Linked DNA regions of Ovis aries. Each later gene encodes a partner of the first gene's protein in a complex. Links are inferred from orthologs where the notes say so. Each region holds a gene or a part of one and is shown on either strand. Other genes may lie near its edges. The genes, in order: DFFB and DFFA.

The links.
Region 2: the proteins of DFFB (region 1) and DFFA are in contact, whole or in part, in an NMR structure (PDB 1F2R), measured with the Mus musculus proteins. The link is inferred for Ovis aries from reciprocal best matches to the Homo sapiens genes DFFB and DFFA. Residues at the interface, in NP_031885.3 of Mus musculus: Cys10, Lys12, Arg14, Ala19, Cys20, Lys21, Phe22, Gly23, Val24, Ala25, Ala26, Arg39; in NP_001020467.1 of Mus musculus: Asp66, Thr68, Ile69, Val70, Asp71, Asp72, Asp74, Tyr75, Trp94, Tyr96, Asp100.

Annotation. Positions count from the first base shown.
Region 1 is NC_056065.1:48,614,850-48,618,658, reverse strand, and holds part of DFFB (DNA fragmentation factor subunit beta), read left to right. Parts: intron 1-2,195; coding exon 2,196-2,384; intron 2,385-3,163; coding exon 3,164-3,243; intron 3,244-3,809. UniProt on the Homo sapiens protein: Nuclease that induces DNA fragmentation and chromatin condensation during apoptosis. Degrades naked DNA and induces apoptotic morphology.
Region 2 is NC_056065.1:42,364,846-42,369,321, reverse strand, and holds the start of DFFA (DNA fragmentation factor subunit alpha), read right to left. Parts: upstream 2,991-4,476; 5' UTR 2,905-2,990; coding exon 2,769-2,904; intron 967-2,768; coding exon 808-966; intron 1-807. UniProt on the Homo sapiens protein: Inhibitor of the caspase-activated DNase (DFF40).

The DNA.
Region 1 (3,809 bases):
TTTTCAGCACAGTTTTGTGTCTTCAGGACAAAGACTGTTAAACAAGTCAGGGATGCCTTCCTTTAAGGGTTCAGAAACAGCAGATCAGCATGTGCACAGAGCGTCAGCATGGCCTTGGCACCGGCAAAGTCTTGCCCATCGAAGGAGTAACCATCACTGGCGTCCCAGGAACAGGGGCATTTAAACTTTATTTACTTATTTTGCTGCATTGCACAGCTTGTGGGATCTTAGTTTCCCAACCAGGGATTGAACCACGGTCCTTGGTAGTGAGATCTGAGTCCTAACCATGGGATCTTTAGGGAATTCCCCAATCTTTACTTTTAACATGGACATTCTTTACTTCTGGTCAGTGCACCTTTTCTTTAATAATTAAGGCAGATGCACACCGTATGTATGATCTACCACAGACAGGCTGTCCTAGTCAGCATAAATTCAAGTTAACTTATGTAGACGTCCAAACGACTCCCTGTGTCTTTGTCGGTAAACATTTCCTTAATCTGTTTTCTAAGGGACAGGCAGGTGACTGACTCTACGCTTAGTGTCTGATCTCTGTTGGGTTTGTGGACACCCATCCATCCTCAGGTTCCTGTTGGCACTGCCTTATTGGAGCCAGTGCCCTTGGAGGTGGGTCTTTAGTGGAATCTTTGCTGGGTGACAAGTGCTACTGGAGCCATAAGCCACTGGCCAGGCATGTCCCCTAGGAGGGTCGTCTGGCTCCTGTAGAAAGGGGCTTCCGATTCAGGTGCTATGGGAAGGCAGTGGAGCTCCAAGGACTGAGATTGTCCTGCCCCCTCTGCTGAAAGGATGGGGAGAGAGAGAGGCTGACAGGAATGTGGATGTGGCCTCGGCCCTTGGTTGGGACTCTGCTGGCAGCAGTGAAGGTGACATGTATGGTGTGGCGAGCATCCTTCCTCTGTCGGGCCTTATCCCTCTAGAGAATTAAATCTGAATAACGTTGTTACCAAGAAAAAGAAGCAGCCCCACGCTGCTTTCCAGAGCTGCAGTCCTGGCTTATTTCCACAGCAAGGACAGGAGCAGGCGCCTGTGGCCTCACCAGCTCTTGGCCTTGTCGCTGTTTCTGCTTTAGCCACTCCGGCAAGCATGTGGTGGTGTCTGGATTCTCATGTCCCTCCCAGCTGATGGTGTTGGCCATCTTCTGGGCCGATTTACCATCTGTAAACCTTCTTGCGAAGCATCTTTTGTCCACTGTGTAGTTGGGTATTTTTCCTGCTTGAGTCTCGCGGGTTCGCCTGGTCCATTCTGGACGTGAGTCTTTGTCAGATGTGTGGTTGGCAGATAGTTTCTCTGTAGCTCATCTTTTTTTGTTTTCTTAACCAGGTCTTATACATGGAGTAGAAATTTTTACTTTTGATGAAGTCCTTCTTGTCTCTTTTTATCTTTCTTTGTTCTTATTTTAGTCACTAAGGCATGTCCAGCTCTATATAGCCCACCAGGCTCCTCTGTCCATGGACTTTTCCAGGCAAGAATACTGGAGTGTGTTGCCATTTCCTTCTTCAGAGGATCTTCCCAACCCAGGGATTGAACCTGCATCTGCTGTATTGCAGGTTGATTTTTTATCACTGAGCCATCAGGGAAGCCCCTTTATGTTTCTGTACATATACTTTTGCGGTTCAGTCTGAGACTTCTTCGACAAGCTCTAGGTCTTGAAGATTTTCTCTGTCTTTCTGCACCAGTTGCTATGATGACATGGCTTTTATTGCTTAGCCTGTGGAGAGTGGATCGCACTGATGTTTGAATTCCAAGCAGCCGCAAGTCCCTGAAATGACCCAAGCCACTGTGGGGCCCGTTCCTCGTGTGGGTCTGGATGTCTGCTTATAGGACGAAGCCCTTAGTTTCTCACGCTTACCTGGAGGGGTGGCTGCTTTGGGGTGCGTGTGGAAAGGTGGGGAGTCAGCCAGATAGTGAAGGGATGAGCTGGAGCCTGAGGTCTCGAGTGAGGGCCCAAGACCAGGTGGTTTCACTTGGAGGAGGCGAGGCTGACGGGGAAGGGCAGCAACTCTCTTTGGTGTGTTTCATTTCCCGTGTTCTCCCCATCTGTCCTCCCCACTGCCACCTTAAATGTGGGGGACCAGGAGCACTGGGCTGGTGGCTGTCGGGGCAGGGGAAGGAGGCGATTTCCCAGAGGCCGTGCTCCAAGGCCTGGTGGCCTCTGTGTTTGTCCTCTTCGATGGCAGTCGTGAGTGACATCAGCCGCTTCCTGAGCGTGTTCCAGGAGCCGCACGCAGGTGTCATCCAGGCCGCCCGGCAGCTGCTCTCGGATGAGCGGTCCCCACTGCGGCAGAAGCTGCTGGCCGACCTGCTGGGCACCGTCAGCGAGAACATCGCGGCCGAGACCAGGGCCGAGGACCCGCTGTGGTTTGAAGGTACCTCATGGATTCTGGCCTGGAGGGAGCGGGTGCGGAGGGCTTCCCTGGGACTGACTCTCTGAGACCTGGGGTCTCCGTCATTTCCCAGATCCAGGGGTTTCCCAAGCACAGGGCCAGGGTCCAGGCAGCCCTGGAGTTGGCCATTTTATTATTTTTCAATCGTGATGAAGTAAAATTCACCATCTTCACCATTTTGGGGGGCATGTAGTTCTTTGCTGGTATTGAATATAGTCCCAGTGTTGTGCAGCAGCCCTACCACCTGTTCTCAGAGGTTTTCATCCTCCCAAACTAAGGCTCTGTCCCCAGTGGGCATCACTCCCCACCTCTCCCCTGCCCCTGGTCCCCCATCTTCCTGTCCCTGGAATATGACTCCTCAGGGATCTCGTATGAGTGAGCTCATGCATCTTCCTTCTTCACTCAGCATAACCTCTTCGTGGTTCATCGTGTGGAGACAGGTGTCAGGACTCCCTTCCTCTTTAAGGCTGAATGATATTTCATCTCATGGGTGGACCATATCTTCTTCATCTAGTCACCTGGACCTATCTCACCTTTTGGACTGGTCTTCTGAGCCAGGTGGAGCAGCCCCCTTGGGAAAGCGGCTCCCCGGTGGCATTTGAGGTGCTCTGTGCTTGTGGACCAGAGATGACTTCCTTTGCAGAAGGAGCAGGTTCCCGTCAGAACGTTTCTAGATGGAGCCGAGTCAAGAGCCCTCCTGTCCGCCCCTCCCAGGAGATCACAGCCCCAGGCTCCAGGCGTCTTGTCTCTCCTTCCGGCAGGCTTGGAGTCCCGTTTTAGGAGCAAGTCTGGCTATCTGAGATACAGCTGCGAGAGCCGGATCCGGAGCTATCTGAGAGAAGTAGGTCCTGGTGTGCTGGCCAGGTTTAGGAAGCCGGCTCTGCCTCTGGGACTTGGCTCCCAGGACTGGTGTGGATGTCAGAGGAGTGAGGGCTGGTGCGGGTGTGGGTGCAGGTGAACGTGAGCCAGCACTGAGTTGCTCGCCCTGGGAGGCCCCTGCCGTTGCTCCTATACCTCATGGTCGGATGTCAGCCAGGAGGTGTCATGTTCCATTCTTTGCAGACGATCCGCCACCCCCACACCTTGACCTTGCTCCCGGCTGTGTGTCCTGGACTAGAGTTTATCATTCATGGTGCAGAACTGCCCACATGTGTTCTGTTAAGAGCACAGAGGAAACCTCAGGGCTGGGGTATCTGAGGCCCTGGGGCCTGACCCCGCTCCCCCTCGTCCCTGCTTCCACCCCTGCTGACCATAGCCACCCTCAGGCTCCTTCTGCTGGTGAAGTGCTCTTCCCAGGCTGGCTGGTGGGTGTCTCCGGGGCATCATCCACAGACCCCGCTGGGTGCCAGCCCCATTCTGTGATGACCTGTCTGCTGTCCTGCTGTCATTCCCACTGGGCCAGGCGGT
Region 2 (4,476 bases), about 6.2 Mb from region 1:
GTGATTTCCATACTTTGGTGGCCTGGGGACTCTCCTCAAAACACTTCTTTAGCTCTTTGATCCTTGCTCATCAATATTAGTTCCTTCTGTATGGCCGGTGAGGATGATGGTAATGATAGTGACAGGGAGTATTGATTTATCTGACTGTATGCCAGATAAGATCTAAATGCTTTCTATCAGTGGCTCTTTCCTGGGAGTGATTCTGCTCACCACACACCTGTAGACATGTGACAATATCTAGAGGCATTTTGGGTTGTCACAGTTAAGGTGAGGAGATGCTACTGGTACCTAGTGGGTAAAGGCCAGCAATGCTGCTAAGTATCCTACAATGCACAGGACAGCAACCCCCCAACAAAGAATTTCCTGGCCCAACATGTCACCAGCATTGTTGAGAAGCCCTGGCTTGCTTGATACGTACTACGTTCTCACATCCTTACAACCCACGGAGACAGGTACGATAACTACTATCTCAATAAGGGGTTGAGAAGTTAGATAATTTGCTCAGGGTCACATGACTAGTAAATGGCAGAGCTGGGATTCGGACCAGGTAGTCTGACCCTAACCTGTGGCCCAGATCTCTCTGCCCTGCTGTGTTATAGTTGCTGTGGGTCCATGAGTCACTTGAGACCTGACCCCATCTCATTCATCTTCATCCCCCGACTCAGCGTCAATCTGGCATACAGAAGGCACTCAGTAATGCTTGCTGCGTATATGCTGAAACAGCCAGCCAAACAGCAATCAGGTGCCACGTGTAGTAAAGCAAATCACGATGGAGGGTATACTATATATACGCCCAGTATTTCTTACCTGAATTGTGTGTCCACTTCTCATTCCCAGCCAATACCACAAACTTAGTATTGGCAGGAAGACACAGGAAGTAATCATCATCATCCACTATGGTGCCATCCTCTGCCAGGACCAGGGTTATTGGTGCCAGGGACTTATCAATGGCCAGAATGTCACAAGCTGAGAGGAATAAAATATTTGGCAATTGACAAATATCCATAGGGAAACTATATCTGTCTTTGTACTCAGTATGTATGCCCCCAGAGCCTAGAAAAATCTCTAGTAGCTAATAATAACTATAATGATGACCACTAATACTAATATAACATTTACCATGTGCCTGGTACTATACTAAGTGCTTTTCATATAGACTACTTAATCTCATAACAATCCTGTGGTAGATACTATTGTTACTCCCATTTTTACAGATGTCAAACCCAACGCTTAGAGAGGTTAACTAACTTGCTCAAGGTCACACAGTAAGTAACTGGCATTTAAACCCACACAGTCTGGCTCTTGAAAACGTTTTTTTCTCCAGCTACTCAATACCCTCATTAGGAGGAACTCAACTCTTTCCTTGGATGAACAACGAACAAAAGTCTGATTTGATTCTTTGAGAATAAACGTCTTTCGTTCATTTTCTCAGTGGTCTAAATGACTCAAGTTCTCCTATGTGTCCAGAGAAAAAGAAAAGTTTAAAAAAGAAAAAAATACTTTATGTTCTTGCAGTATCTTTACAGTCTTACTAACCTATAGGAAAGTGTAAAGGAAGCAGAAGACAGAAGATTGTAACAGGAACTTTTCATCTGTATGATCAATGGTCAAGAGGTTTTGTCCAGGGCAGGTCTGTACTTGCCTAATGATGGCAATGCCTAAAATGCTAATGGGACTAGAGCACACAGAAAAGTAGCCGAGAGACTACAAATGTCATCGGGCAATATCGTCTTGCACCCTGCAAACCCTGCATAGGCCGAGCTCCAGAAACACAAGCACTTACAGGGGCCTCTGTGCCAAGTGCATCCAGCCACTGCACTAAAGGGGCACTAAAACTTAAGAACCCTCATGCCAAGAAAAATTATGTAAACACTTATATGGCAAAAGCCATCTCACTGAAGCATTTAGAGTGCTTTGGCTGTTTCTGTGTCTCTGAAAGACTTCTATCAGATACCGGCTCGGCTGAGTGACTCTGGGAGGAAGCTCTGAACAGGCATACATACACCTTCACTACCTGCCTAGGGATGACTCACAGGTTTAACCTAAAGAACTTCTTTCGGTAAACAGTTTATTGCTACAGGCTAATAATTTGTAAGTCATTTGAATATATTATCTCCTTGGAGAGTCCCAACAATTCAGTGAAGCAGGGCTGGAAATATAGCCACTTTGCTGATGAGAAAATTGGGGATCAACAGATGGTTACCTGCAAGGTCAGGCAACTAGTAACAGTAGGAGGCTCAGAACTTTTGAAAGCTAGGTCACTCACAGCAGCTGTTCCTTGTCTGGACCTCTGGGACGGTAAGTAGCGGCTCCCTCTTTACCTCACAGGTACCTGCTAGAGCTGACGGTGGAAACCCATCCCCACCTCGCCGTAGGCTCACCTGAGGGCCCCAGTACCACCTCAGGGAGCCCGAGTGGCAGGACTACACCAGGCTGGGTTCGATCCACAATCTGAGTCACCGGAGGCAAGACACCGAAGTAGAGTCTGTTTTAAATCATTTGCATATTGCTTCCCGTCTGCCTTTCCACATATGAATCGCACATAAAGTAAATTAAGTTAAAACGCTTGGCACAAACGCGGTGAAACTGATAAGTCGCTATACCCACGTGAGTCATATCTGTCCCAAGGGTCCTCCACTTCAGTTACAAGAAGCCCCAAGTCGCCTTTCTTGATCTCGGTTAGCCCCGCCGGACATCCTCACCCTGCCCTTGGCTCCCTTCAGCCTGGGCTCCAGCTCCCCAAGCCCTCGCCCCGGTCCCGTGCCTACCCTTGTTCCTCAGCTCCTTGAGGCAAGAGGCCGCCACGCCGTGCTGCTCCCGGCTTTTGTTGCGGCGCAGCAAACACTGCTTTAGAGCCCGGATCTCGCCGGGTTCCGGAGCTGCAGGGCCGCTGGCCACCTCCATCCTCTTCAGGATGGGACCAGACCGACTAGAAGTCAGGGAGACTGAGGCGCGGGAGTCCTCCCAAATTCCATCCCCCACGACATGCCGGGAAATGTAGTTCTCTCCGTAGCAAATCACGCGTGAGACCAAGGCACGCCGGGAGATGGAGTTCTAGGTGCTCCTAATCACCTGAGGCTAACGGGGGCATGCCGGGAGCTGTAGTCTGTGGGTTCAAAGCCGACTTAGGTCGCGCAATTCAGTCCAGGAGGTGTTTTTGTTTTCCTACCTTATATTAAGGAGTTGCATTTGCGCGTTCAAAATGAGGTCAGTAGGGGTTAATTTTGCAGTATGATGGACACGCGTGTATATTTCCTTGAACTCTTTCCTCCAGTATGTTGTTTAGTTGCTAAATCGTGTGCCACTCTTTTGGGAACCCCTCGACTGTGGCCCTCCAGGCTCCTCTGTCCATGGGATTTCCCAGGCAAGAATACTGGAGTGAGTTGCCATTTCCTTTCCCAGGGGATCTTCCCCCACCCAGAGATCGAACTAGGGTCTCCTGCATTGCAGACGGATTCTTTACCGCTGAGCCACCGGGGTCTCAAAGAGACACGACTGAGCGAATGAACTGAACTAAGCCGACTGGGAAGCCTCTTTTGCATATATAGATGCATGATATTAATACTTAAAACAGTGTCATTTTACTTTGTACTGTTTTTCCTTTCCAACCTGAAAAGATCTATAAAATGTCCCAAGCTTCACGCTGATCTGAAGGAAATCAGTTTTAAAAATTGACGAGTATAGTTTTCAATCTTGCTGAAGAGCTAACAGAGAAGCATAAAATACTCCCACATTTCCACGCATTCAGTTCTCTGCTTCAGATCTGTAAATTGGGTTGGGACTTCGGAATAAAATGCTTAGATATTAGGTTAAACATTATAATTTCAAATCAGAGAGAAAAGGGGAAATCTCATCACTGTTGAGATTGTCCAGATGCTGCTTGACAACATATTTGTCTTAATACTGCTACTTAGGGAAAAGTCTGTGTTTTTCACCCCTGAAAAACCAACACTTAAGATTAAAATAATACAAAAAGTTTCCTGGCTTAAAAGGGGGGCATTTTATATAAACAAGAAATAATTTGTTATTCCTGTTATTCCTGGCCTGCTGCAGTCCGTGGGGTCGCAAAGAATCGGACACAATTGAGCGACTGAACTGAACTGAAGGAATAATTATCAGACTGTATTAATTCAGGGTCAATCCCTTTCATATTTTATTAAAGGAAATCAGATTTATCTCATAAGAAAAATACATTTAAAACAGTGTTTGGTAGGAAGAATTGTTAACTGAGGCAATGCTTTTGAATATGCCATCACTGATCAAACACAACTGTGATATGAACTGACATATTTCTAATGTATACAGCTCTTTCGTGTGTGTAATGTCACAATTGGCTTAAAGTCGAACAACTCAACCACTATAAAGTAATAAAGGTTCGTAGAAGCCTTCAGTTCAGTTCAGTCGCTCAGTCGTTTCCAACTCTGCGACCCCATGAATCCTTACCTCTCCCAAAAGCACTCGCCTTCTGAGTTCTAA